Cricetulus griseus: one gene and its partners. The protein of the gene in region 6 interacts with the protein of the main gene of each other region in a pairwise test. Links are inferred from orthologs where the notes say so. Each region holds a gene or a part of one and is shown on either strand. Other genes may lie near its edges.

Region 1 (3,970 bases), on a different chromosome or scaffold from region 6:
TGCTGCTATTCATAGTAGCATATAGCTTTTAGACACAGGGTCCTGCTAGACAGTCCAAATCTGGAACACATTAAGTGGCCGAGGCTGGCCTAGAGTTTACTGAAGTCTTGGGATTATGGGTGTTAACCACTGTAGCTGGTCAACTGCTTTATTTTGATAACTAAGGGCCTTTAATTTTAAATACCAAAATCTTGACCAAAATAAAGCTGGGTATTTCCTTTGTCACCAAAAAAATATGGGAGAAAGGCAAGTCATTGAGCCCTTGGAAGCAAATAGTACCAGAGATGCATAAAAGAATTGCTATCAACGTTGCTATACATTTCCAGTCATCAATGCTTACCAAATTATATGAAAGAAAATACTGAATCAAAAATAATTTTTTTACATATGTCAATATGGACAGATTCATAGGTGGTAGATAACTTCAAGGTCTTTAAAGTTTACAAGGAGAATGGAACATTGATCAATATGATTCCATGTTCTTCCCCCCCCCCCCCCCCCCCCCGGCCAGGGTTTCTCTGTGTAGCTTTGGAGCCTATCCTGGCACTTGCTCTGGAGACCAGGCTAGCCTTGAACTCATAAAGATCCACCTGCCTTTGCCTTCCGAGTGCTGGGATTAAAGGTGTGCGCCACTAATGCCCAGCTAATTTCATGTTCTTTTAAGCCTTATTTTCTTCTCTTTTCCCACTCAAGATAATATATCTTAAATAGAAATGTTATAGCATCAAAGATATTCAATTGTTAAAAGCAAACATAAATCTTTTAGTAATAATTCCATGCAACAACTATTTAGTACATTCTTCACTGACATGGACTGGATAATATGATTTCAATGATTTACTGAACAACACCCAAACTATTATACTTTATATTCAGCTTGTATATGCTTCTAGTAATAAGATATTAGCTGTCTTCTGGAAGCTAGCATATAGTTCCATTTCTCAACAGCCAGTAATAAAGGTCCTAGATTCTCATTCTGACCTGACATCTGACCAGGGCAAATTATTTTATCTCCTGGCACCAGTTCCCTAGATAGCTCTTAAATTTCATGACTGGAGTTATGTAAAAGCTGACTACTAAGTATAAAGAACGAAAGTAACAATTTTCCCTTGGGAATTTCATTAAGGAATCCCAAGACTTTTTATTTGTTTTAGATAACAAAAAGTGAGTATCAAGATCTGCATTCAAAGCAGAAATCAAAATTTGTCTATATATGATATGAAATCTTATGCTTGTTTCTCATTCTTGCCAAGTGGTCCTATTTAGACCACATCTTAAATAAGCCCCTCATGCTAAAGAATAAGGAATAAAGCTAGATTAGCCCCATGGTAAGAGCTAGTCACTCAGCAGAGAAGCAGCCACTTCATGCTCCATGTTACCAAACAACTTCCATCACCACTCATGTTAATGTGTTAATGTGCTTAAATGGAGGTGAGGTGGTAAAGCAAGCAGTGTTTCAGAGGAAACCAGAGTACACACCAGAGTGCAGCAAAGGGAATGAACTGAGAAGGGAGGGCCATAAGAAATAAATGAGGAACAATACCTAGCAACCAATTCATTAATAGTCAATCAAGGACTAGTATGTGGAAACAGACCAGAACAACAAATGCCATTTATCCTTCAGGAAGCATGGCTATATATTCTCTAGTTTTGGTTTATATCCAGTCCTACCACAGTCTACAACTATCATTACCAAAGCCACTGACCAATGGAGATGAAAAGAAAATAGAATGGATGAAAGCAAAGTGAAAAGGAGGAACGGGAAGTGGAAAAAACAAAAACAAAAACACCGTTTATGAAGTAATACTAGTTTTGAATCATGAAAGATGTCTTATAAATCAAGCAAAAATAAAAGGAAGGTTATATACTAACGTTCCTCCACTTTAACTCAAGACTTAGGCTCACTTAGCTTGCTGGGAAAGAATCATAAACCTTCAAGGCTTCAAACTGGTTTACCCTTCCCGGCCTTTTCAGCCTCACCCACATATGCAGCTGATTGTGAGGTAATAAGAACATGCTTATTATATGAGGATACACACAATCAGCTAGCTGCCTCACTGCTGTGGTCATATACTCTCTCTCAGTGGCTTCAGCTTAAATACAGACAAATTAGCCAATATCACTTCAATACTGGGAGACTGTAAGTAGTGATTGCAATTATATTCAGTTATGTAATTACTATAGTTAAATGCTACAACAGGACTTTGTGAGATAATGCTCACAATTAATTAACTTTCCAATTTAGTTTAATCCATATATGCTTAGCAATCCCCCTATGAATCTGGTTTCTCCCACTGAAATTAAAGTTAATTTTCAAGAGCTCCAACCCCGAATGTGTAAGTATATGAAACATATTTCTTTACATCTGCTATTTATTTCCATCTTGACTGAAAAAATGTATATTCTCCATGGGTCCATAAGAAATTTGAAATACCTGATTTTAGAAGCATAGCATTACTTTTAGAATAGACAGTAATTCCTAATAAAATTCTGACAAACAAATCCAATTATTATCAAATAAAAAATTAAAACTCCTAAATCTGTTCAGTTAATTTCTTATTCTGAAATCACTACTTTGTATAAGACATTGGAATTACACTGACTTCTGAATTTTACATTTTAATGGAAGAACATTAACCCTCTAATTTTAACCTTATTTTTGAATTACTTTGCTAAGACAGCTAGAAATTTAATTTTTAAATAAAAAGCCCACATAGAGAACATGCTAATGTTATTAGAAATCTGGATCCAATTACCTGAAGGAGAGCCATGAGTGGAGGTCACACTTTTGACCTTGGAGTCTGATAGCCTTGAGATACTGTTAGCTCTAGTTCTAGGAGAAAACTTATCGGATGGTACTAATCTGGCTCCACTCCTAATGATGGCTTCTGCAGTGCGTGAAGAGGCACTACTTCTTGATATTGTTGCTTCAGAGTCACTACGGGCAGACAATGAGCCAAGTCTTGTTCTCCGAGGCTGAGCCAATAAATCAATCCGAGAGATTGTTCGCCTTCCTATGGGTGGTTTTGATGTGGAACTTGTGGTGGACACCTCAGAGGCAACAGATGCTTTGTCAGCATCAGCAAGTTCACTGTCGGAAGCTTCACCCAGCCGGGCTCGACGCAGGAGGGAAGTCCTGGTGGGCCGTGGCCTTGGGAGAGTGGTCGATTTACTTGATGAACCAGAGGCAACAGGAGAAGTCTTAGACTTTGTTCCTTTGCCTCCTTCCAGTTTGGAATGTATGTTGTGCTCATCGGCTGAGGTAAGTGGATTCCTTCCATGGGATTTACAGGAGTATGTTTCCTGGTCAGATGACATAATGTCAGAGATAGCAGAATGAGGTACACTAGAGGTCTGATCATCATCGGTTAAGTCTACGGAAGGCTGCCGGATTCTTCCACTGGACTGTACAAACTTTCGACCATCTGCTCTTGCACCTATGTCTGTAGAGCGACTTTTTGCTTTCTTTTCAATTTTCTCCCTAGTGCCTGACTTTGTAGCATCTTTGGAAGGGGAACTCGTGGAACACCTGTCTTTATAGAGACTAGTGAAACTCTTCCGCTTTTGGGTGGACTTTCTTTCCGTCTCTCCAGTAACTAGACTAATTGTACTGGCGGTGTCTACATCAGATTCCGGTGAAATAGAATTGTCTCTATTGTAACTGGGAGTATCTGGACCTTCATCAGTTTTATTATTATCTTCACGCAGTTTAGCTTCTAGAAAAGCCATCACTGCTTCTGTGTCTTTTAGAATCAAGGTTGTGTCCATGCTAGAATCAGTATCCAAAGAGTCGCTCCTTTCTCGAAGTCTACTTGCAGATGCCAATGCTAAGGAAGTGGGAGCAGATGAATTCTGCTTATTGATATGAGGAATAAGTTCTATGGGTATGTTTGAACTGGGTTTTTCTATGGTGAAACTCCCTTGCCGCACTAACGGCTTGGAGGACTCTTTCTTGTCTCCTTTTGAAGTC
Region 2 (4,426 bases), on a different chromosome or scaffold from region 6:
CATTAGAATTGTCAAGATTTGTATGAATGGTTAAAGCAAATAAAATGATTTAAAAATTAAAAAAAAAACTATTGGGCATAAATCAGAATGTTGATGAATTTGAACTGTAGCTAGATGTTAATATTGGTGAACCCAGTTATACTTTGTTTTATGATTTCAGTGATGGAATGACTATTTGTATAATCATCTGGTTTTCTTAAAAAGAAAGTGCAGTTTATTCTGGCTGTAGAGTGTTTCGGGGAAATGATTGCTTTGTCAAGAACTGTGTGCTTTGAATCTGGTCCGCAGAAAGACATCATTAATCAGGAGACCTATAACCAGTCTGTTGATAAGGATATCAAACCTCTAATTGCCTATACCTTTAGCTCTATATGTTCCTATACATACATGCTTGTATAGATCTAGCTATATGAGTATCACATATACTGCAGTCAGGTAGGATGCATGTATATCATCCATAGACTTAAAATAAGTCTATCTATATTCTAATGTATCTATAGCTAGTCTCAGCCAGATGATGGCAACAGTATGCTGCAAGAGAAAAACAGTGGTAGAATGACCTGGTGTTTGTCCTTGGCATTATAAAAGAGTTAGAATCATCAGATGAAATACTAAAAATCAAAACTTCATCTGCCTGCCAGACATACAAGGATATTTAAAACAAAATGTTTAAGCCTATTGGTGTGGCCCCTAGCAACTTAAAAATACCATTTCCCCACTTTTTGTGCATTTTTGGGCTTTTCCATACAACTGTATTTTGATCATATTATTTTCCCTCCCCCAACTCCTCCCTCGTCCCGCATCTTCCCTATATTCACTCTTTAAAGACAAATAAAAGTGATAAAAGTGCATTTGCAACACGGAGGATTCTATTTGTTTTTAACCGAGCAGGGGAACCAGGCCTCTGAGCTAACCCTGTCAGCTTTGGCCTAAGTGGGGAAGGCTGTGAGCCAACAACCTCTGCAGTGCGGATAGCGCCTGGACCAAGGCTGCAGAGATCCTCTACCTGTATGCGGCTATCTCGATGTCCAGGGCCATTTTGACGTTGAGGAGATCCTGGTATTCTCTCAAATGACGAGCCATTTCCCACTTTGTTCCCCGAAGCTCATTTTCCAACTGCTGGATGGTGTCCTGAAAGGCACAGGGTATCTCCAGAAACTTCCTTCACAAGAAAGACACTTGCTTTCCTCCTCCCCCAACCTGCCTCCCCACCCCCATCCCCACCCCGCCACCAGCTACATAAGTCTAGCAGACAACACTCTTAGCCCCCCCTCCCCATTTCTTTCTCTTTTTGGTAATGGAATTCAAAACAAACCAATAAAAATCAACCAGACATTTCCCAGGTACTATGTGCAGGGAAGTCAGTAAGCCTAGAACGCCCCTAAAGGGAACACTAGGGGACCCTAGGAAGCTCTATTGGACCTTACCCTCTATCCCCACCCAAATTCTGGATTGAAGCCAGTTTTGAAAGCTTGTCCCATCGCGGGGGTGGGGAGGGGTGCGTGTGTGTGTGTGTGGAGAATACAAGAGACTATCTGTGCTTCTGCTTATTAAATGACAAATTTCTCGATCACCGGAATGTGCCTCTTACTTTAAAAGTAGAATCTACCATAGGAAAGCAAGTTTTTGAAGGAGATGGGAATTTCTAAGCAGCTGAGCCAGGTGGGTGGGGCAATGAGGAAAGGCGGGGCAAGGACCCTGGGACACAGCTAACTCGGGTCTGCAGCGCTCGTGCGCGTTGGCGAGTCGCCACCAGGGAGCGCGACCAAGAGGGCCTCTGAGCGCGCGCTCCAGTAGCGTGTCGGGGGCGCGCGGCGCTGGCGCTGGCGCTGGCGCCCGCCGGCCGCGCAGCCGCGGTTCCTACCTGGTAGCTGCTGAGGTCGTGGTTGTGGCGCTCCTCGATGTCGCTGAGCTGCCGCTCCAGGGACTCCTTGGTGCCACGCACCGACTCGAGCTCGATGCTCTTGGACTGCAGCTGGCGCCGGTACTCGGCGATCTCTTCCTTGGCGGAGCGGATGGCCTCCTTGTTCTGCTCGGCCGCCTCGGTGAGCTTGGCGTAGCGGCATTTGAACCATTCTTCGGCCTGGTGCATGTTCTGGTCTGAGTGACACTCGAGCTGGGAGCGGATCTCCTTCAGGGCGGTGGAGATATCTGTCTTCAGGTAGTCTTTGCGCTCTACCGTGATGTGCGACGCCTGGATCTGAGCCAGCAGGTCGGCCACCTCCTCTTCGTGATTGCTCCGCAGGAAGGCCACCTCATCCTGCAGAGACTGAACCTTCTTGTCCAGCTCCACCTTTACCATGGACGACTCCTCGATGTCTTTGCGCAGCGCGCGGATGGCAGCCTCGGTGTCATCGCGCAGCCTCGCCTCCTCCTCGAAGCGCTCCTTGAGCCGGTGGATGTCTTCCTCCAGGTGGTCCGAGTCCAGCTGCACCTGAGCCTTCTCGTGGTTCACCATCTCGAGCGTGGCGCGCAGCTCTCGGATCTCCTGGTCGTAAGCGTCACCCAGCTGGGCGTGCGAGACCTGCTTCTGCCGCAGCGCCTGGATCTCCGCCTCGATCTCCTTGTTCTGCTGTTCCAAGTAGTGCACTTTCTCTATGTAGCCGGCAAAGCGGTCGTTCAGCCCCTGAAGCTGCTCTTTCTCGTTGGAACGGGACAGCTTGTAGTCGCCGCCCGAGCCGCCGTTGAGTAGCGAGGAGGACTGGCTGAAGTCGAGGCTGCTCTCGGCCGAGCTGAGCATGGCCGAGCTATAGGCGAGGCGCGGGGCGAGCGCGCTGCGCTTGTAGGAGGAGGACACGGTGCTGGGCGAGCCGCGGGACCAGGACTGCGAGCGGAAGCCGCTGGACGGGGACCCGCTCACGCGGCTGAAACTGGAGCGGGTCTCGGTGACCCGCCGGTAGGCGGACGGGTTGCCCAGCGAGTCCAGCGTGTAGCTCATCTTGGAGGCCTTGGGGTGTGTGGCTGTCACAGCGTTCTGCCGGCCTCTCCGCAGCCCCTTTATAGCGGAGCAGCTGGTCCCGGGCCAGGGCCCCGCCCCGTGGAGGCGGCGGTCGAGGAGGCGGGGACTGCGGGCACCGGGCCGGGGGTGGGGGGAAGGGGGAGACAAGCCCTGCGGTGATTCAGCGGCCGCTCCACGCTCCACGTGGGCCGGCGCCACAGTGGACCCCGCACTTGGGTGTAGCCCTGCCGGCCCTTCCCCAGCGTCCCCTTGGGTCCCAGACCACTTGTCACCCTGTAGATCTCCCTTTTTTGCTTTTCACCGGCAGTTTGCAGTTCACAGCCTTGGTCTAAGTGCCGACTCAGCGTCCTTTCTTTGTCTAGCCACTCTCTGGCCCGTTGGGCAGTTCTTCTCTGGCCTCCTGGCTGTTCTTTGGTCCCCTACCTCTAAGCCTCTTTCTTCCTTACATTTGACCTTAGGCTTGCTGTTCTTTATCACCCACCTCCAACCCCCTTGTGGCCCTTCTCTGTCTTCTCTCTCTCTCTCTCTCTTTTGTAGTTCTCACCCGGCATTTCCCTTGGAGCCCTTTCCCCTGGGACTTTTTTTCTTTGTCGCCTCATCTTTCACCCCTTCCCCTCTCTCCCCCCACACTCTCCTTTTTCCTTCCCCACTCATCCTTATCTTCCTTGTCCACCCTTTCCTCCGCCTACGCCTTGTCTTAAAGCAGGCTGAGATGAGCTGAGAGTTATGCAGAAGAAAAAAAAAAGAGAGTTTTTGAGAAATGGCAGGTCTGAAACCCCCGGGAAGGGGACAAAGAGGACAGGCTGGAGTATTCATTTGAGTTAAAAGTGTGATTTGGCGCTCCGGTCTGCTTAACGGTTGGGGGACCTCGGCAGCTTCCAGAAGGTAAGGCGCAGGGGCGCCCAAGGATCCGGCAGCACCAAGGACAGCGCCCAGCGGGGCCGTGGGATGCTGCTGGTTTCTTGCCTGCCAGAGCCCAGAGGAGGGTCATTTGTGGCTCATCTCCCCCAGAAAATACTAAACCTGTTTGTAGTGACTGTTTGTTGTAGGCACCAAGCTGGAATCCCACGCTAAGACTTCTCTGCAGTGCAGAGTTGGCACAATGAACACACTGCAGATTTCGAAAACAACTAAAATTCCTTAAACTCAGTTAAGGGAAGTAGAGACTTGAAAACCAGTTTGACTTTACCAACAAATGATGGATGCTGGGAAAGGAGACACAAGGCCTGAAATTTGAAGGTCAACTATTCCTTGGGAAGGGGAATTTGAAATCCGAGATGAAAAATCCAGGGAGATAGAATGTATGATAAGTTTGAAAAATGCTTTGTCATCTTTCTGCCTAGGCACCGCTTTTGTGTGCTGTAACAATTGATTAGGTGATTCAATTAGTTTTAAACTAATTGAAAGGTTACAGAACAGATTCACCCCTGTCTTGAATAAGCCGGGCATTCCCCCTCCCTTTAAAAA
Region 3 (3,970 bases), on a different chromosome or scaffold from region 6:
CCGGTTTCTTAAAGCAGCAAATAGGGCTGATAAAAATTACAATCTGTGCAGAATAGGATAAAATGACCAGGAATGAAGCATACAAGAAATTTTATGTTTACAGAGGGGTCCTAGAACCAATCCCTAACGGAAAACAAGGGCTGGATAGAAGTGAAAAATGGTTCAGCATCAATGTTGATCAAGAACATGCCATGCAGGCCACTGAGAGAAAACACATCATTACCCAGGGCTGCATCCTGAACTCTACAATAAGGACCTGCCAGGAAATGTGTACCTGTTGGTGCAACAGTGCATGAAAATTATGGGAAAACCAAGAAGATTATGGCTACATTTGAGGCCTACTCCAAAGAAGGGAATTCGTGGCTCATTCCACAAACCTGGTCAAAAGCCCAAGGGCTCTAAGTGGGCGCCTACTGCTGTTGCTAAATGGCCATGTTGTCAAACTGTCATCAAAATACTTATATTTATAGCCACAGATTAATGTTACTGTCAACCTTGACCAGAAAAGCCTCTTTCTGCAGTGGGCAGTGATGCAGAGGCTGGTAAGGTGCTAAGAAAAGGTAGCTCAGTGTCAGCCCAAAATGGGACATCTCAATCCAGTCCCTACACATACAGGTTGAGAAAACAGCATATAAGAGGCAGGAGGAGTTTAGCTAAGAGCTGGGGGGTGAGTCTGTGCAGGAGTGCTGTGAAATGCTATCTTCCTGACATGATATGGACACTACGCTCATGAAATCACTGAAACTGGGGACCTGCAAGAACAAGGCAACTGGTGATCCGCCAACTTTCCAGCTGGTGGCATTAATTGGACCCAGTGGGTCACTAAATAAATAAATAAAATAAGAAGAAAAAGATAAAATAGCCAATAGCCAGGAAGGTAGGTGATGGGGAATGCACTGTGTGTGTTTATCTTATTGATTGTTAAAGTTCTGTTTGGCCAATGAAACAGCAAGACAGGACTAGGAGTCAAAGAGGATTATGGGAAACGTAGTAGAAGTGGTGTTCCAGGCAGGAAGTGACATAGCAAGGAGACTGATAAGCAAGGAGAAAGATGAAGTGTCCCCTTTCCCCTTCCTCCTCCAGCAGCAGGATGTGAACCACCGGCAAGAGAGGGCGCCAACGAAAGGCATCCTCTATAAAAATAAGTCTTATAACATATATAGATTTATGATAATTAAGACTGAGCTAGGTTCCCAGCGACCGATCCGCCAGGAGAGTTCTCATCCAGTGGCTGATGGAAGCAGAGACAGACATACACAGAAATACACTGAGCTGAAATCGGGAACCTAGTTGAAGAGAGGGAGGAATGAAGAACGAAGGGGTCTGTACCAGGATGGAGAAACCCACAGAAACAGTTGGCCTGAAAAAGGGAAAGCATATCGACCCCAGACGCTCTCTGGGAGGCCAGTACGGGACTAATCCAGCCCCCTGATCATGGATGCCAATGGGGAGGCCCCTGCACTCCTGGGAGCCTCCGGAGGTGGACTGGCGTTTTGCTCTGGTGTGTGTGGGGGACTTTAAGAGCCCATCCCACTTGAAGGGATGCACTCTGTCTCTGGACACATGGGGAGGGGCCTAGGCCCAGCACAGGAAGATTTGGTGGACTTGGTGGAGCCCCTGTTGGGGGCCCTACCCTGCCTGGGGAGTGGTGGGTGGATGGGGTGGGGGGTAGGTTGGAGGTGGGGGAGAAGGAATGGGGGTGAGGGGAGGGAGAGGGAGAGGGGAATTACATGTGAAACAAGCTTGTTCCCTAACTTGAATTAATAATAATAATAATAATAATAATAATAATAATAATAATAAAAGACTATATATAAAAAAAAGACTGAGCTAGCAGATGAGAATCCTAGTCATTGGCCAAGCAGCTTTGAACCTAATACAAGTTTCTGTGTATTCCTTTGGGCCTAACTCAGGCGGGCGGCTGGCGGAGAGCGCCCACGTGGCCTTAGGGCTCAGCGGCTTTGGCGGAAGGATTTATAGTAGCAAGTAGGGGGTGGGTGGAGTAGGATCTGGGAATAGGTCTGACCAAGATACATTGCATAAATATATAAAAATTGTCAAGGAATAAATAAAAGATATTCTTGGTTGGAGAAATGACTCAGGACTGGAGTTTGGTTTCTAAGGTCCACATCAGGTGGCTCACCCACCTATTACTCCAGCTCCAGAGGATCCAACATACCCACATACATGCATGCATGCGCGCGCGCGCACACACACACACACACACACACACACACACACACACACACACACACACACACATCTTTTAAGTAAAAAAAATCTTAAGAAATCCTGCCATATGCTACAACATGGATGAAAGTTGATACTGCCTCAAAGTCTGCATGATTTAACTTATCAATTATCTAAAAGGCAAACAGAAAGCAATACAGAACAGTGGTTATCAGCAGTGAGAGACAGAAAGGCTAACAGTGTCACTTTTATGAGAAACTTCTAGAGATCTACTGACAACATGCATAATTCATAAAAATTATGATAATAAAAATCGGTCATATGCTATAGGCAACCATTTTTAATTTTTAATCGTATATAAACGGGGTCCTAAGAGTTTGAAAAAGTGAAAAGTTATTTTCAACTAGATTTTAAAAGAGAAATCTTTAAGGATGTTTAGTTTGTGTCTGGTGTAATCTTTTAACTACAGGATAATCTTCCTAAAGCATCTCTCTTCTTAAATACTTCAAAACAGAAGATAATAAATAGATGCCAAACAGGACAAAGCAATGAACTTTATTGCAAATTCTCATTGCATAGAATATGCATTTTCCAAAAAACTCAAAAAAAAAAAAAAATCAAATGATTTAGGTTAACCCAATAAAAAATTCCCAATAACATATTATCAAGCTACACTAGAAAATGTGTTAACTTGTATATATACACATATACATATACATACATACATACATAGATACGGTAAAGACACACGTGACACCAGTCTGCACGCTTACCTTCATCAAAGTCAGCGTCGTCTTCCGTGTGCTGAGGGAACGGGAAGCAGTTGGTAATCTCCAGTCGGTCTTCTACAACCAGACCCAGGAGCACTCCTTGAACAACCTCCGTTCCTTGTCCTTCCTCTTGATAGTGTTTGATGATCTTTAATACCACCTAAAAGGAAACAGGAAAGACAACTTAAACACCACACTAGTCTAGGTTTTACTTATTTTTAAGGAAAAGATCGAAAAGCCACCAGTAAGTTTCCAAAACCACAAAACTACATATTAGGACTCAACAAATTTTGTCTTGCAAACCATTTCCTTTAACCTAACATAAATAATAAGGCTCACATGAGGTTCCTAGATAGTTAACCCTACTAATGAGATCACTAAGCCTTTGTTAAAAACAAAGTAACAGTTATCAGAAGACAGGTAAGCTGAACTTAGATGTTTAGAAGAATCCTACAATTTAAAAGCCAGTATCCACATATGCAAAGGGGAATGCTAATGTCTAGAATCCAGCACGTTTCCACAAAGAAGCCAGTCAGAGTAACCTTATTTCCTTTCACAGAGGAAACAAGGCAAAGGAAGGCTGTCAAGGATGTAAGAAGCAGTTGCAGCTGAAGCATAGGAAACTATCCCATATTCCTTCCAGCGTTCCTGAAGCACTCCACTTGCTTCCTCTTATGGACCAGGGACACTTAACCATTCAACGTTCCCAAAAGAGACAGGAAATCATAGAGGTCCAATTGGCTGCTAAATAAATTCAGCAGATAAATAAATGACTAGTAGGATAATTACAGAGAAAGCTTAAAACCCTGTGATGAGGACTCATTGACTTCAATAAATTCTTATCTCTGGAAAAGCCCTCAAAAGGAGTACCTGTCAAATGGAAAGGAGCTCCAGGTACTGGAGCATTGGTCTTCCGTGGAAACATAAACCTGGGAATCACCAGTGATCCTCTCAACAAATAAAATTTCAAATTTAAGGATAAATTATCTACAGCATTCAACACTGGCCAA
Region 4 (4,441 bases), on a different chromosome or scaffold from region 6:
TGGGGGGTGGGGGGGGGGGGGGCAGAGACATTAGCTGACATCAGGAAATAACTTGGCTCTCCGGGCTCCTGAAGGGCTGAAGGTCTCCACATACACTCCTCTCTGACCCCTGAGCTGAGCCATGGTGATGAGAGCAGCTTCAAATCACCGGTGTTCACTATCCGGCTCCCAGGCCCTTCCATAGACCCTTGCTTCCTGGTAATATGCTGAAGGAAACAAACTTTGGATGTCCTCCCTCTACAGTCATTAACTGCTACAGCAATAGGCTGCTCAGGCTCAGTGAGGAAAAGGAGCCAATTGGAGCTTTATATTCAGGTCCCATCATGCCTATAATGGGCACAGTCTTCTTATGATTAAGAGCTACCTCTCTACCTCCAAAAAGAAAATAATGATGCCATCTGTTTGTTTGGAGACAGGGTTGCTGTGGTACCACTGTGCACTTGTATCACAGTAAGCGAAAGGGACAGTCCCCTACAGGGGCTTGTTATTTTATAGGCAGGTTTTGGGCCATCTTTCATTGATGTAGTACAGGAATTCCTCATTACATACTTTGCTACTCTATGAGGACAGGGTAACTAAGACACCTCTCGGAGGGACAGGTTTTCATTTAAGTACCCGGCTATGACATCATCTGCATTACCTCCAGATACTTAAGCTGGGGGGAGGAGGGAGAAGTGGACTGACATGCCAGCAAATACAGAAGCCACAAGGAACACACTGCCGAGAGAAGGGACAGAGAAGCTATTCCCCACAATGTAGGAGACACTCCCACAGGGGAGAACAAAACAAGGAATAAGTGAGTATGCCAAGCCATATCATTATAAAAGCCAGCAACCAACAATCCCCACAACTAATCAGCCCCACAGACACAGCCACAGGACTAACAGACACACATACTGGGCCTGCTGAGATGTCTCCACACCTTCACTGAGGTCTCACAGCATCCATGTGGGCCCAGCTCAACTTTCTTTGGAAATAATAAAACATGATCTATACAAGCCATTGCTGGGCCTTTGTCCCCATAGCACTATACTCATTTCTGTTCATTCCTTTTAGGCTTCTTCTTATGTTACCTACATGTATCCTAACTCCTCTCCTTATTTCCTGTATGCATCCTGATGGTCACATTAGTCAAGGGCTCCTTAGCGGCAAGGACGCCTCTTCCTCTGCACAGAATGAATCAAAACAGAATGATATATTCTGTTAAACGATACAAAATAATTCCTTTCCTGCATCCACATCGACTCCTCAGAGTTCATTGTGTATTTTCCCCAAAATTACTTTGGTCTAACCAGGCCTCTTACTTGTCTGAAGTCTCCAAGTCATTTGTTTACACCTTGCCTAATGGCTACTAGTACTTGAAATTCAAGTTCTTGGTAAGTACTAATCAGAATGCACTGAGTGAAATATATTATAAAACAAAAAGGCCTACTCCAACTGTAAACAATTTATTAAAGTCCAAGCATGGATTAGAACCCAGGGGCCTAATTAATCACTAACCCAGAATGTAACTGTTTTGAGATATTTCAATTGTATTTAGAAAACCTAAGACTTGGATTTTACTAGCAGGTCTAGTTAGCCGTAGTCCCACTGGCATGACCCTCCTTTCTGGCATTGTTCACTGATGGCTGCCAGCTCAGCAAGGCCTTTCAAGGCCCTGAGACCTACATATCACCCAGGCTGGGGTTGGCATACTCACTTATTGCTGTGGCTTGCCAGAGAAGGAAAAGACCTATCTGGGGGAGAGGGGTCCTGAGGCAGCACAGAGTCTTACCGCATCAAACTCTGCTTGATCATCTTCAGGTAGGTCGCTGGTTTCATAAACATCGGGCTCGTTCCTGGCCTGCAGGTAGAAGCAGTGACCACCCAATCTCACTATCCCAGCGTTCACCTCTTGTCCCCATTTCCTATGAACAAGCTAATGCAAAACCCGGACTGTGATTCAAGGATTCTACCGGTTTTCCACTTCCACTGTCAACAGGGTGTCAGCTCCCACACCTCAGTGGGACAACCACAGGGACAAACTGGGACCTGGGGCAAATGACCAATGTGAAAAGAAAGATGCTACCCTGGGCCCAGCTGAGAGGCCAGTCCTAGGTAACTATCCTGCCCTGCATACCACTCCACTGTTACAAGGGTTGAGTGACTCAGGTACTTAGTTCTCAAGGTCCTATGGGCCAGTCTCCCAACCCTGAGAATGCAAATGGACAGGGCCAACACCACCGAAGCGTAAATGCCTCCTTGGACATGAGGAGCAGGCACGGGTGCTCCCAAGGGACAGAGCTCCCAATTGGCACAAGGTTTTCTGCGACAGTAACCTCTTCCCTGGAGAGATGAAGGCCATCATCAAGTGGCCTAGTGAGTATGGCTGGAGCAAGGATGCGGGGGCGGGCAATCGGGACATTTGGGGCGACCAGGACAGTGTTGACATGGATGATACAAACACTCGGGCACAAGTGGCGGGCGCCCGGAGGCGATTCCTGGGCGGAGAAACTGGCTACTGCAGGAAAAAGGGGGCCAGACGCGGAGTCCAAAAGCCCGGCCCAGTCGAGTCGGCAGTCCGGAAGGTGCTGCAGCCGTCGATGGGCGAGCGGCGGTAACCGCTAGGGCGGAGAAGGGGGTGCCAGCGGGAGGGGTCGCGGGCTGGTTTCTGTTGGGGGTCCTTGGGAGATCGGGGGCGCGGTCTGGGGAGCCGGGCCCGGCCCTGTACTCACAATGCCGGGGAGGTCGGCGTATTTAGGGTCCGCCATGGCGGCGGCGAGGCGGGGCTGGGGGACCGAGGCCTCGGTGGAGCCGGGGCCGGTGACCGGGTGGGGGAAGAGGCTGGGTCCGGGTTCCCGGCAAAGGCGACGGTAAAGGGAGCGGCAGAGGAGCAGGAAGTCTCGCGACAGGAGTCACCCGGCGGAAGGGTACCGCAAAAGTCGCGAGGACGGCCGGCTACCACACCCCTGAAGAGCCTGGGATTGGTGCGAGCGACGGGGAATGAGGTAATGGCGAGGAGACGCCGTGTGGCATTGTGGGATATGTAGTTTCGGGCCTCTGGGGCTGGGGCTGGGAACGACGATAACACACCTTAGGGAGAGAGTTAGTTCGTACAGCTTATTTTTTTTCCATCATTTTTAATAGTCTACGAAAAGGATTGCATAAGTCCTACTTCCGAACATCTAGAGGTGGGCTCGAAATCACACAGCTCGTCGCTTTGTGAACAACAACAGTATGATTTAGTAAAAAATGTAAGGGACGAAAAAGTGAAGCAGTCTTTTCAGATGAGGGCTGCAGGACAAAACTCAGGGTCCCTCAGTTAAATTTTAATTTCAGGAGCTGGAGAAATGTCTCAGCGGTTAGGAGCACTGGATGCTCTTGCAGGACCTGGGTTTGATTCCCAGCACCCACATGGTGGCTCACAGCCATTTATAACTCCGGTTCCAGGTGGTCCCATGCCCTCTTCAGACACACATGTGGTACACAGACATACATGTAGGCAAGGCATCCGTATACATTAAATACATAAAACTAATAAGAATTTTTTTAAAAATTGAATTTCAGGGCCAGGCAGTGCTGGTGCACACCTTTAATCCCAACACTCAGAAGGGAGAAACAGGCAGATCTCTGTGAGTTTGAGGCCAGCCTGGTCTACAGAGTTCCAGGACAGCCAGGTCTACACAGAGAAACCCTGTCTCGAAAAAACAAAAATAACAACAAAAAAGCATGTGTCTTATTATATTTGTGATATGCATATAATAATCTGAAATTCAAATTTGTCTGGGTATGCTGATTATGGGTTTTTTTTTTAAATTTGGAAATCTAAATGGAAAAATGATAGCTGCAACTCTGACTGAACACTCCATGGTGGTCACCACTTCATTAATAGTCTCCAGAAATTAGGAAGAAGGAATTAACATGGTCTCACTCTTTAGCCCAGGGTATCCTGAAACTCACTTTTCAGGGCTGGGTATTGTACTGGGGACCTTGTACATAGTAGCTTTGTGTCCAGGCTGACAACAGATCTTTCTGGAGAATAGACATAATATAGGTACTCTTTTCATTTTGCCAAGTATATACATGACAAAGAAACACTATTTAATTGAATTGATTTAACATTTATTTATTTATCGTGTGTGTATGTGCTCGAGCACTTGTCTTTACGTAAGTTTGGAGTTCACAGAACAACTGTTATTTGTCTGTTTTTTCTTCCCACCATGGGGGACCTGGGGATCAAACTCAGGTCATGGTTTGTTGGCAAACCCCTTTCCCTGCTGAGCCATCTCACTGACCTATTTTTAAAACAGAAGGGAAGGCCAGGCAGGCATAGTGGTGCTCACCTTTAGTTCCAGCACTTTGAGTCAGAGACAGGCAGATCGCTGAGTCGCAATACAGCCTGGTCTACAGAGCCAGTTCCAGGACAGTCAGAGCTACATAGAGAAACCCTGTCTTGAAACAA
Region 5 (3,970 bases), on a different chromosome or scaffold from region 6:
TTTTATTGGGGCTTAGATATTGCTTAATGGAAAATTTAATGTGTGATGTATTTTAATTATACATGTCCTAAATAAATAGTAGTTTGCACTCACAGGTTTACTAGTCTAATTTACTAGTCTCTTACTAGTCTCTTGGGCTCCTGAAGGCGCTTGCCCATCGTCTTCCTGACCTGGTTGTCTCTGCATGGTTACCAGCCTCTCTCTGTGTGGCTGCCTCCATGCAGATTACTAATGGTTCAAGCAAATGATAGGCATAAGCCTCCTGGACCATTATAGGCTAAAAGCAGCTCCAGCTTGAGCCGCTCTTTCCAGCCCGGCTACCTTGTGTTATTTCTGATGCCAGCATGGAAATGCCAGTTCTAGGACTCTGGCTGGCTGGAGGTGATGGGTGGATTAGCCAGACTGCTTATCTTTCAGTTCTAGGGCAGCTCCTTCTCTTTTGCATTTGCATCTTACCACTCCAACCTCATGTTTTCCTTGAGGCATCGTATCAGTATCAGTAGGCTTCCATTCCAATGCATCATGTCGGGAGTGCTTGCTTAGACTGTACTAAACTCGGGTTTTGTCTGTGTTAAATTGGGATGCAGGGCAGACTATGTTCAGATATGTTCAGACTGCGCCGGATTGTGGCAGGTTATCACAGGGAAGGTGGGATTCCCCCTGTCTTCACTCTGTGAAATCACCTTCACCAGCTCTCTTGTGAAGCCTGAAGTGAGCTTAAGCTTTAGTTCCTTTTCTCCTCCTTTAGTGGAATCTAGTTGATTTGGGACTTGTGAAATTCACAGTTCTATGCTGCTAGGCATTCCCACTGCAGTGTTACTTGCATGGAGTTTTTCATCATGCTGACGATGAGCTGCCCATATTTGTTCTGGAGAGGCAGAACCAGGCATGGCCTGGGTTTTACAGGAGCAGGTTACTTTTAACTTTGAAAACCCATGTGTGACCACTGTAAGTTACAGGTTGATATGACCACATAAAACTGGCTCAGCTTCTCATACATAATTTTTTTTCCCTTAAGACAAATATGGTCTCTTTAGAAGGCCTTACCAAAGTAGTTGATCCTTCCCAGCTAACTCCCGAGTTCGATGGCTGCCTGGAATACAACCATGAAGAATGGATTGAAATCAGAGTAGCTTTTGAGGACTACATTAGCAATGCAGCCCATATGCTGTCGAGGCTAGAGGAACTTCAGGATATACTTGCAAAGAAGGAGTTGCCTCAGGACCTCGAGGGGGCTCGGAACATGATTGAGGAACACTCTCAGCTAAAGAAGAAGGTGATTAAAGCTCCCATAGAGGACCTAGATTTAGAAGGGCAGAAGCTGCTACAGCGGATTCAGAGCAGTGACAGTTTTCCAAAAAAGAACTCGGGCTCGGGCAATGCGGACCTGCAGAACCTCTTGCCCAAGGTGTCCACCATGCTGGACAGGCTGCACTCCACCCGGCAGCATCTGCATCAGATGTGGCACGTGAGGAAACTGAAGCTGGACCAGTGTTTCCAGCTGCGGCTGTTTGAACAGGATGCTGAGAAGGTAAAAGCGGGAGGGAGGGGCATGCCAGCTTGACAGAGGGGAGCTGCTGGGTCACTGGGTCTCGCCTCTGAGACTGGTGTGATAATGTGAGGAAACAGAGAGAAGGAGGAAAGTAATAGGGCTGCAGTTCCAGTGTGCATTCCACAGCAAGGGCCATTCGGAAGCCATCCTTAATCTGGCCTCCAGTTTTACTCTCAGTACAATACAGTGCTATTTTAGAAAGTCTGAGCTAAAAGCTACCGGTGGTTTGAAGAAGAGTGCCTGAAAGGCAGGCAAGAGTGATTTTTTTTTTTTAGTCCACATTGCACAATTGTGTTCTTAAAAGCAGTGATTATGTATAGATTTTCTGATACCCACCCTCTGATCCAACAAAGCCAGCAAAGCAAACCCTATTCAGACCTATACTGTGTCCTTTTCTAACAAAAGGTGAGTGATTCCATTAGAAATAAGTTTCTAGGTGATGTGGACAATAATGACAGATGTCCTGGTCAGAGTGGATGCTCATTCATTGCCAGATAATGTATTCTTTGCAATGTGAACAAAAAGGATGCTTGCAAACAGGAATGGTTTGCAGGCCATGGAGATAGGTGAAGTAATGTCTTAACTTGTGGCCATTCGGTTTTGTTTTTCCATGGATTGGTAAACGCACTGGAAAGTAAAAAAACCACATTAGAATTTTTTGATATAGGGTGCTAAAAGGATTTTTAGATGGGTGAGTCAGCATCACTGGCTTACCTGAGACCTATCAAACTCTCAAGTCCTTTGAAATATTTTGGTAATTTGGTTGTTTGTATTTGCTCAGGTTTCTGTGCGTGTCTTGCACGAGAGAGTGTATTCTTTCAGCTGTTAGTAATGTCTTCATAGATCCTAGTACAGAAACACTCCAAGGTCCTGGTTCCAGCCTTGGGTCTTCAGAGGGAGAGCAGTGAGACCCATGGAGCACTTTTTAGAGGAAGGGGCCTGGGCACAGAAGACAGGGTTTCTCTTAGGTTGAGGGAGCAAGCTGAGTTCCTCCTTATGAGACAAGACTTTCTTGAGATCTGCTGCCTCAGAAGCTCTTGCTTGTTCTTAGAGGCATAAACCCCAGCAAGCTCAGGGAGACCTCAGAGAAGCTAGCAACCCCCCCCCCACACACACACATACCCCTCCCACCCCTCACCCTGCCCTTTCTTTTTCTGCAGTGATCCCAAGTAATCTTTTTCCTTCTGGTAGATGTTTGACTGGATCACACACAACAAAGGCCTGTTTCTAAATAGCTACACGGAGATCGGGACTAGCCACCCTCATGCAATGGAGCTTCAGACACAGCACAATCATTTCGCTATGAACTGTATGGTAAGCTGTTGTGAGACCCTGCGGAAGATGGGAGGCAGTAGGTGGCTGGAGTACACATACCTCAGACAGCCTATGTGGGGCCTTCAGTGGCAATGGCTATAGAGATGATAGTTGTCACCCTCATTTCTTATATGACTTTGGACAATTTGTTTGACCTCTTTGACCCTTAGTTGCCTAATCTATGACTTGGGCACATTGTCTTTCTTTGATATATTGTGTTATTTGCTCTGCATGTCTAGAACACTTCATTGTGGCTTTCAAGAATCATAATCAACACCTGCGATATTATCTAATCAAAGTAGGAGGGGAAACTCTTCAAAGTATGATTGACGTCCCGTCCCTTCTCTCCCTCTTTCCTTCCCTCTCTCCCTCCTTCCCTTCCTTCTTCTTTCCTCCCTCTTCTCTTTCCCACCTCTAATTTCTTTCTTTAGATGCTAGCATCTTTTTCTTCTTTTCTACAGTACGTTGTGTTACTTTTCTCAATTAAACTTCTCTTAGGATATGATCACTCTTACTGTGCTGATGACAGCAGTTCAGCAGCTTTCTGGACCTTTCTTGCCCCTTATTCTGACACCTCCACCAGTCATCAGCTATCATGCATGCCAGGCAAGGCCAACTAGCTTTCAGTCCTTACTCCTTCTGCCTGTAGTGTTTTGAGGAACCTTAGAGAATAAAAGACTAAATACAAATACATAAGTGGGCAGTCTCTAAAGGAACCTGATTAGGGAATACCAAGAATGACACTCTAGCATAACATACAAGCTTGAGGATGAAGTCAAGGCATAAGTACTTGTAGTTGGGATGGCGCCTGGCCACATGGTACAGGCTCTGTAGGGCTGAGTGGGTCTCAATGTCCCTGGTTGTGCTGGAAATGATAGAGTAATGGGAAATGGGAAGCACGTGGCTGGTATAGTCTTCTTAGGAAATGAAAATGATGGAGGAGTATGTAATCCAGTCTGTAGATGATCCCTGCTAGGAGGACCATTTCGGTGGCCTGTACTTCTCTCATTCTAATGGTTCTAGCCGAGAGCCTCTGTGTGTACTCTCCTGGCAGAGTGTAGTGGCCTTTTCTCTCAAGGATTCAGAGAAACAGCATTAGCAAAT
Region 6 (3,970 bases):
ATCCCAAAGGTATTGGGGTCAGAAGAGCCAGCGTGGGCAGCACCCCTTCAGTACAGGAACCTGACATGCTGATTTCCCCAGCTTCTGCCTGGTTCCTGGGCAGTGTGGGTACCAACTATAAACCAGGACCAACCACAGCTAAAGGCCCTGCAGGGAGCTCTCTGAACACCGGAAAGAAAGGGGCTCTTACAATCTGGGCACACCCATGCAGCCCTTAGTTGGGTTGCTGACTTCCTCTGGAACAAAGCCTCAAGCAAAGGGCCTTGCCTTCATGGACTCAGCTGCAGAATGAAGGCAATGGCATTGAGTAGCCTGGTGGGGACCTTCAGCCACAAGGCTGGTGTTCCAGAGTGACAAAGCACTCCCTGAACAATGTGTCTTCGAAATGCATATCACTGTGCAGGCCAGATAAGCTTAGGAAAGGCTTTGAAACCATCTCCCTGTGGACCTCTGTAAGAAGCCCTCGATTTGTCATGGAAGATTTGGATTGAAAAGCAATTGCCTGCCCCCAGGGTGTCATGCTTCAATAGGAAAACCAGTGTGTGTGTGGGGGGGGGGGTAGCCTGGCCCAGCAGCGCCTTGCAAAGCCAAATACACCTGGAGCTGCAAAGCAAAGGGACATTTTGCCTCAAGATAAACACATCATCCCTCCCCAGACTTCAATAGCCCCTGAAAAGCAAGACAGGAAGACAAAACCACCTTCACCAGGAGACCCCCAAGTATCACACCTCTGAGGCTTAGTGGTCTAAAATCTCCCAGCAAACACAAGCAAGCTTTCCCCTTTATAGCCTGCCTCTCCTTAGGCATCTCTCTCATTCACTGCTCACTTTCTCCTCCTGACAATGCCAGCAAAGTAGATTATCAAAGGGTGTTTTAGGTGTTGTGACCTCCAGAACACCAGAGATACAGAAATTAACACTAGCCAGGCTTTACCACGTGTACAGGCACTACAACTAACAAGACAAAAGAGATGGCCCAATGTGATGTAGCCTGCCCTGGTCATACATGCCTCCCATGACAGGCTGAGGTCTCTGAAATAGTGAGCCAAAGACATTCTCTCCTCTCTTGTTTCTGTCAGGCATTTGGTCATGGTAACAGGAAGGGTAATTAATGCCACTAAAAACTTAGTTCTGATTATTCTCTCTTGATTTTTGCGGCCATTGTTACTTTTGTATGTGTCTGTGTAGGTAAGTATGTGTGTGTGAGTTTGTATGTGCATGCATGGTGACAAGGGTGTGCACAGGTATTTGTGTTTGCACAGGGAGACTATTCTTGTGTGTGTATGTGCATATGGAGTCCAGAAGCCAACTTCAGATGTCAGTCCTTGTTTTTTTGAGACAGGGTCTCTTACTGCACTGAGGTTCACCAATTTGGCAGGCTGGCAAAGTCAGTGATACTCCTGTGTCTACATCCATGGTGCTGGGCTTATAAGCTTATACTACCTTGCCCAGCCTTTTATGTGGGTGCTGGGAATTTAACTCAAGTTCTCATGCTTACACAGCAAACACTCTACCCATTGAACCATCCCTCCAGCCCACGTTGTTGCTGGTGTTGAGTCAGTGGATGAGAAGATGCAGCCTCCCAGCAGCAGAAATGGAACCTGAACTCCAAGCTGAGCCCTCTCCTCCCCTGAGCTCTCAGAGTCTTGAGGTAAGTCCCCCTGTTTCATATACAGCCCTGTTTTAAGCAGGCAGACATTGCATTAAGCTTTTAGTCAGTTCTGAAAAGTTATGTGCAATTTTTTCCACTGTAAAGCCATGATTCAGATGGCTACATATATATACATAGTGGTTCCACCACAAGACAGAAAACACATCTGTCACTACTCCCAGATTCTTTCTTCCCAGCTTCCAGGCAATGAGACCTGCTCTCCAGTCCCATCATTTTTGCCTTTCCCAAAAAATATCTATCATCTTAAGATCTATGGTATTTGTGAATTCAAAGAATGCCGGTTCAATGTTCCTGGACCCCTCTGTGCATACCTAAGACTACAGACAGCATCAAACCTAAGTAGAACAATTTTTCATATGTATACCTATCTGTGACAAAGCCTGATTTATAAATTAGACATGGTCAGAGATTAGCAGCAACACGTGTTTTAAAGTAAAACAAATATAACAAAATACTGCCATCTCACCTTTAAGATGTTCTGTTGGCTTCAGGCTCCTGAAATAGGCTCAGGGTTTGCTATGACCTTCCCAGTAAAATGTTGGCTCCATGAGAAGCTGTTAAGTATTTGGGAAACTATGTTGCAATTCCAGAGAGAATATTGGGTATTGAAGGAGTTCTCCTTAAAGCCTACCCAGCCGAGGCTAGCAGGGACCCAGAGAGACTATGATACTACTCATCTTCCCATGGGGACATGTGTTCAAATACAAGCACAGCCAGTCCTCAGACAGCACAGACACAGTGACCGGTTGTTATGCTGAACACAGGGCACAGGGTCTGTAATGTCACGACTCTAGTCCTAATCAGGAGCAGGAGACCCTGCAGGTTGGCTAGGGTGCTTTCCCCACCCACTCTCCCATCTCATTGAATTTTGGCAAAGACAAAGGAAGGGGTGCAATGGGATTTGAAAAGTCAAGGTGAGGGCATGAGTCAGGCAGCAGCTATAGCCAACTTCTTCCCTTACAGAACATATGGGACCTGACGGAATACCCAGAAACCACCAAATAAGGAACTTGGAAGCCTCAGAGGGAAGACATGTACCCAAGGAACCCCTCTGGACTTCAGGCAGGAGCAGAATGGAAAGCTGGGAAAGTGGGGTGAGGGAGCTTTCTCCACTTGTCAGGGTCAGGCCCTGATTTTAAAAATTAAGTAATATCATGTTCTAATGGAAATGTACACATCAGGCCAAACAACAGGGCTCTCTGCTCTTTGTTTTGCTTTGATTTCATGAAAAAAAATGAACCACAAACATTCATCATGATCTGTTTTTGGTGAAAATGACACCATGTATTAGAATTCAAACATTAGAATGTTTGAATTCATAAATGATATAATCTATAGGCTCTAGAAATACAATTGAATATATATGATATACAGTCTGTATAACAACCTATGTTATATAAGATGCATAGTGCATACTACATATGATTCTATATGAACTTCCTTATTCTAGAATGAATTAGAACAATGGGGCCCTCTAAACTAGAATTAAAAAGAAAGCTAATGTTCTAAGCTTTTCTCTTTGCTCGTCTATGTTTTAAGCTTCAAAAAGCTATACACTATTTTGTTATCGTATTCAAGAGTTGTATGAATTTTGGGAACTTTGTGAGGGTCTATGGCAACCCCCCTCCAGTTCTGTTTGTTCTCATCGCCACATGGACCCCTGAAAAAGTCACGCATACATAGGACAAACCTCTTTCTGTTGGCCTCCAGCACAGTGTGGTAAGGGGGTTGAGTGAATGCTCCATGCATTGAGCACCTGCAAGGGGGTCTTCTCCTCTTCTGGGTGTGGTCTGGGATGGGCAGTCAGGGTGGCTGTCCAGGTGGCCTCTCCTATGCTGTCCATCTGCTTCTCACCTTCTGCATGTGGGTTGATGCCTGCTTCCTGGAGCCGCAGACTCTGCATCAGCAGCTGACAAGCCTCCAAGTCGGCTTTCCACACTCTTGCAAGCAGTGGACACCTGCAGCTAAGACAGAGGGAAGCAGGCATGGAAATTAGCCCAGCAATGGCTCATGCTACCCATGGACAGTATGTTAGTATCAGGGGGTCATCTTACACTCCATGACATCATTTTATAGAGACAAAACTTCAACCTGGAGACATAGAGGGACCAAAATCTGTGTGTCTCTAGTCACAGTGATATCCACGTGGGTCCTTCTTAGCTGTCTGGTCAGCAAGGACACCCAGAATCCCATTTGCTCTTCCAAGAACAGTTACCCAGTACATCTGGCCCTATACTCCTGCTGGATCTCTTATGTCAACAAGCCTGCCCATATCTGCCTAATTGCAGGCGTCTGCAGG
Region 7 (4,458 bases), on a different chromosome or scaffold from region 6:
CTGCCTACAGAGAGACAATACTCCTTTTTTAGGGACGCATTTCAAATATGAATGTTTAAATATCTGCAAGTCATGCTTAGGACCTGAGTATTCATGACCTCACTCTTTTCCAAAAATACATAAATCTGAAAAGTTCTGGGACTCTAACAAACAAGACTATAAACATATTTTTCAAAATACCCTTTTAACCTATCAGCTGTATTAGATCCAATGGACATCAGTAACCTGCTTATGTCACTCCACTTTCGTAGCATAGCTTTCTGTGTAAGCTCAGACATCACCAAAATCATATATGTGACCATGTAAAGGGAAAAGTCCCCACACTTTCGTGTGTCTTACCTTGTCATTGAGCATACCTATTAACCCCTGCACTTTATGATAAAATCATTAACAAACTCTCAACTCTGCTTCATACAGGCCCACCCTGAAATTTTTTGATCTCTGAAAAGAACTCGGGTTGCTAAGGTGGCTATGCACAACCTGTGTCCCTGGCCCCTGGCCCACTGTCACTGATAAGTTCACTATTATATGAATATAGTTTATAATGTCCCCAAAGTATTATACTATGAAGAGTAAAAACATGTGGGACGGTGGTGTCACACGCCTTTAATCCCAGCACTCCAGCACTCCGGAGGCAGAGGCAGGAGAGGATCTCTGTGTGTTCAAGATCAGCCTGATCTACTGAGTGAGATCCAGGACAGCCAGGGCTACACAAAACAGTGAAATACTGTCTGGGGGGGGGGGGGGAGGTGAAAACATTTGAATTGAGATCGTGTATGTAACAAATATACACATTGTTTAAAACGTTTTGAGAATCACCGATATATGACACAAAAATAGACACATATAGTTGGAAAGATGGTACCAAGACTTGCTGTGGTCATGAACCTTCATTTTGTAAACAGGAAAAGGCAGTATCTAGTAGTGCAAGACAACAAGGGTATTTGGTTTCAAATCTAAGTAGAATAGGCACGTGGTGCCATTTAAAAGCATTCAGAATCCCGAGGCTGTTGTCTGGCTTTAGTTCTGTGGTCATTAATGTTGGTCTCAGGACCCTAGTGGATTGAACTCCTATTACATTCTTGAGTCATGGGTCTGCCAATCTTGGAGCTCCTAGGCTCCCAAAATAGTAGTCTGGAGGCTCGCAGCGCAGGAACATTTCGTCACCAAGGCAACCACGTTCTTGCGTCTGAGCGTAGCCCGGGTCAGAGCTCAGAGGTGGTGCTTAGGATGGATGTTCAAGGACCTGAGTGGCAGTCGGATCCTAGCGAAGCCCACAGCTCTAGGCCCCGGCGCGGAGCAAACACCGCCCACCCCGCTCCCCTGCGCTGTGCACGGGAACCCACCTCCCGCCGGGTCGTGCCGACGGGGGCGGAGCGAGACGCCCAGCCCCGCCTCCGAGCGCGCGTGCGCACTGCCTCCTGGGAGGCGGGAGCGCAGTTGATGTTAGCCATGGAAACGCGAGCGGTCCTGGAGGCCCCGGGTCAGCTGCTGGTGCCGGCCGCATCCATCGTCGGGAGGGAGCTCCCAACCGACCTCCCCAGGGGAGATGTGGTCCCGGGACGCCCTCGCGTCGCCCCTCCCCTCGGGTGACTCCAGGTAAAGTCCGTCCCAGACACACCTGGGGCTTCGTTGCTGCCTTAGTTTCCACGCGTGGATACCACCCGGTTCTTTCAGCTTTTATTTCCTCAGCAGACGTCTTCCGATCTCTGTTTGAAAGCTTTTAAATGCAACTGTTGCTCTTTTTTTATGTCCAGGGTGAACCGAATTGATAGAGGTAGTGACCCATTGTGGTTTTTAACCGGGCAGCAAATTTTGCACCCCGTGGAGCTGCGTTTTCTTTCTGAGAGGCCTTTGTGAAATGGAGTGTCCCTTTGGCCCTGATGAGGCATGAGCATGTTACCCAGATCAAGATCAAGGACTGTGCCCCTTAGGTAGAGTTCACTGTTTCTTGGTTCTCTCATCTCAAACCCTCCTCCCCCAAATTGCTCATTCTTGGCCGCCTGGATACATATATAGCTCGTTTGTCAGGTTTTTCTGTCTCCTTATAATCCTTTGCGAGTCAAAGACCAGAATTTATGTAAATGAATCCCATTCCCGTTTGTTATTTATTAGGCCTCCGAATTACCTGATCTGTGCCTCCTATTTCCCCCTTACTCATTTTTTCACTATTGCTTTATTTTTTTTTCATTAAGTTCCTGCATTTAGAGAGAACATTCATATTTCTATCCACTTACAACCACTCTCATTAGCCCATCATTTCTTACAGCATCCAGTTCAGATATTGCCATTTTAATAACTTAACAGTTTGGGGCCCATGCTGTCTACAAGTTTTACCTTTCCTATCGAATGAGATGCTTGTTGACTGTTAACTTCTGTGGAAAATCTCGGGCAGGGAACTTTTTCATCTTCCTCTGTAAGAGCTTTCTTGAGGTACAACTCATTATCTGGAAGTATACAACTCATTGGTGCAAGTGTATTGACAGAATTGCACAACCATTGCTACAGTCAATTTTGGAACAATTTGATTACTTCAAAAAACCAAAACAAAACATAGTTTTAGCTCCTTTTCCTCACCTTTTCCCAATATTCCTGCCCACTTTAGTTCTTGGCAATCACTAATCTATTTTCTTTTTGTCTCTACAGATTTATTCTAGGTGTTCCATATAAACAGAACCTTAAAATATCTGATTTGAATGCGTGCTTTTAGCTTCTTTCACCTTAAAGGAATGTTTTTCAAGTTCACCCATGTCAGAGCTTTATTACTTCATTATTGTTTATTTTATAAAAGTCTATTATGCAGATGCGGGTCATTTATTTGTCCTTTTAGCCATTAATAGACACTGAGTTTTTTTCCTTTTGGCCAGTAATAATATACTGTGTACATTTTGTATAAGTTTTTGTTCAGGCATGTTTTCATTTCTCTTGGATATAATAACCTGGTAATAGAGTAGGTGAGTTATATGCTAATCCTCTTGTTTAGGCTTTTCAGAAACTGCCAAGGTTTTCCAAGGCACTGCACCACTACATCCCCACCAGACGTGTTTGAAGGTTTTAAGTTAACCTCACCAGTATTTGTTTTTGTCTTTCATTTTTGTTTTAGCCACTCAAGGAAATTCAGAGTATCTCATGGTAGACTTGGTTTGCTTTTCCTTATGTCAGATTTCATTCCCAAGTCCATCTGGCCCATCACCCAGAAATTGTCGATTCTTATCCTTAGTTCATCTTTTAAAACCCAAGTTGTATTTTCATCATTGAATTAGAAGAATTCATTATATATTCTAAATACAAATCTCTACTTAATAGCCTTTTACTATTCTGTAAATTGGTTTTTTCACTTCCCTGATAGTGAGGACTCTTGAATATACTTTTTCAAGAGTGTTAGGTGCCAGTGCCCTCATGCAAGCTTAGGTATCAGGTTTTACATTTTTACACTTTGTAGATTCCTTTCAAATCCACCACTCAAGAATCCTCAAAGCAAACTGTACTTTTGTTTGATAATAGGTTGGTATGGTTTAAAACCTTAGTTTGCCACTAGTTAACGTTGTAACTTAGTTGTCAATATTGTTGGTTCTCGATTTTTTGTACAGTTATTTCTAGTGATTTCTATGAGTGTCAGGCTTGACGCTGATGATACCTTTTTTGAGAGAAAAGGTTATCAAACCAATTGAATTTATTAGAGTGAGTGAGAAATGGGAGGGTAGTCAGAATCTTTAGCTTTTTCTTTCCATTTTAATTGTCCATGAGTAGTAGGATGCTGTTGTGCTGGCTTAATTTTGTGTCAACTTGACACAGGCTAGAATCATCAGAGAGAAGGGAGCCCTAAACACCTCTGTAAGCCTGGGCTACAGACAAACCTGTAGATCTTTTTAAAAGTATGTGATTGAATGGGGAGGGCCTGTTGTAGTCTGTATTTACCAGAAAAGACTGTTTGGACATGGGTTTAAGCCAATGGAAAGTCTTTATTAGCTGGCCATTAACTTGCACTGGTGTTTGGGATCCCAGTGTAACCCCAAACCTTTCTCAGGGTGATCTTTTAAGCACAAAATCCATGTCCTGGGTTGACACACTTCAGTTAACAAGAAGAGTTAGCAAGAAGCATAACTACAGAAGCCAAAAAGCAAGGTACTAACCTTGCTTTACATTTTAGAGACTTTCCCATAACTATGGACTTCGATGGATTAGGACTTTGTTTTAGTTTTGGCAGGTGGTGTTGTCTACCCTCTGAGTTTTACAGCCTGAATGATACTTTCATCATGGAGTCAATTTTGTCAAGGTCTGAGGGCCTGCTAAGGTCTGCGTCCCTGTTACAGGCTCAACTCACTGCATCAGCTCCTGCCTCCAGGTTCCTGCCCTGTGTGAGCTCCTGGCCTGACTTCCTTTCACAACAAACAGTGATATGGAAGTGTAAACCAAATCAACCCTTTTCTCCCCAAATTGCTTTAGTTATGGTGTTTC

What was found.
Region 1: the proteins of Disc1 (region 6) and Cep170 interact in binary tests that used the Homo sapiens proteins (3 or more experiments, as listed by UniProt). The link is inferred for Cricetulus griseus from reciprocal best matches to the Homo sapiens genes DISC1 and CEP170.
Region 2: the proteins of Disc1 (region 6) and Nefm interact in a two-hybrid assay, tested with the Homo sapiens proteins (2 studies listed by BioGRID and IntAct). The link is inferred for Cricetulus griseus from reciprocal best matches to the Homo sapiens genes DISC1 and NEFM.
Region 3: the proteins of Disc1 (region 6) and Eif3h interact in binary tests that used the Homo sapiens proteins (3 or more experiments, as listed by UniProt). The link is inferred for Cricetulus griseus from reciprocal best matches to the Homo sapiens genes DISC1 and EIF3H.
Region 4: the proteins of Disc1 (region 6) and Dctn2 interact in a two-hybrid assay, tested with the Homo sapiens proteins (2 studies listed by BioGRID and IntAct). The link is inferred for Cricetulus griseus from reciprocal best matches to the Homo sapiens genes DISC1 and DCTN2.
Region 5: the proteins of Disc1 (region 6) and Trio interact in binary tests that used the Homo sapiens proteins (3 or more experiments, as listed by UniProt). The link is inferred for Cricetulus griseus from reciprocal best matches to the Homo sapiens genes DISC1 and TRIO.
Region 7: the proteins of Disc1 (region 6) and Pcnx4 interact in a two-hybrid assay, tested with the Homo sapiens proteins (2 studies listed by BioGRID and IntAct). The link is inferred for Cricetulus griseus from reciprocal best matches to the Homo sapiens genes DISC1 and PCNX4.

Annotation. Positions count from the first base shown.
Region 1 is NC_048598.1:17,032,783-17,036,752, reverse strand, and holds part of Cep170 (centrosomal protein of 170 kDa), read right to left. Parts: coding exon 2,757-3,970; intron 1-2,756.
Region 2 is NW_023276807.1:223,117,539-223,121,964, forward strand, and holds the start of Nefm (neurofilament medium polypeptide), read right to left. Parts: upstream 2,939-4,426; coding exon 1,865-2,938; intron 1,132-1,864; coding exon 1,007-1,131; intron 1-1,006. UniProt on the Homo sapiens protein: Neurofilaments usually contain three intermediate filament proteins: NEFL, NEFM, and NEFH which are involved in the maintenance of neuronal caliber.
Region 3 is NC_048603.1:3,251,246-3,255,215, reverse strand, and holds part of Eif3h (eukaryotic translation initiation factor 3 subunit H), read right to left. Parts: intron 3,121-3,970; coding exon 2,964-3,120; intron 1-2,963.
Region 4 is NW_023276806.1:130,459,273-130,463,713, forward strand, and holds the start of Dctn2 (dynactin subunit 2), read right to left. Parts: upstream 2,946-4,441; 5' UTR 2,751-2,945; coding exon 2,715-2,750; intron 1,844-2,714; coding exon 1,775-1,843; intron 1-1,774. UniProt on the Homo sapiens protein: Part of the dynactin complex that activates the molecular motor dynein for ultra-processive transport along microtubules. In the dynactin soulder domain, binds the ACTR1A filament and acts as a molecular ruler to determine the length.
Region 5 is NC_048595.1:358,604,688-358,608,657, reverse strand, and holds part of Trio (triple functional domain protein), read left to right. Parts: intron 1-1,018; coding exon 1,019-1,531; intron 1,532-2,743; coding exon 2,744-2,866; intron 2,867-3,970. UniProt on the Homo sapiens protein: Guanine nucleotide exchange factor (GEF) for RHOA and RAC1 GTPases. Involved in coordinating actin remodeling, which is necessary for cell migration and growth. Plays a key role in the regulation of neurite outgrowth and lamellipodia formation.
Region 6 is NC_048596.1:201,987,712-201,991,681, reverse strand, and holds part of Disc1 (disrupted in schizophrenia 1 protein), read right to left. Parts: intron 3,636-3,970; coding exon 3,362-3,635; intron 1-3,361. UniProt on the Homo sapiens protein: Involved in the regulation of multiple aspects of embryonic and adult neurogenesis. Required for neural progenitor proliferation in the ventrical/subventrical zone during embryonic brain development and in the adult dentate gyrus of the hippocampus.
Region 7 is NC_048598.1:130,873,585-130,878,042, reverse strand, and holds the start of Pcnx4 (pecanex-like protein 4), read left to right. Parts: upstream 1-1,444; 5' UTR 1,445-1,599; intron 1,600-4,458.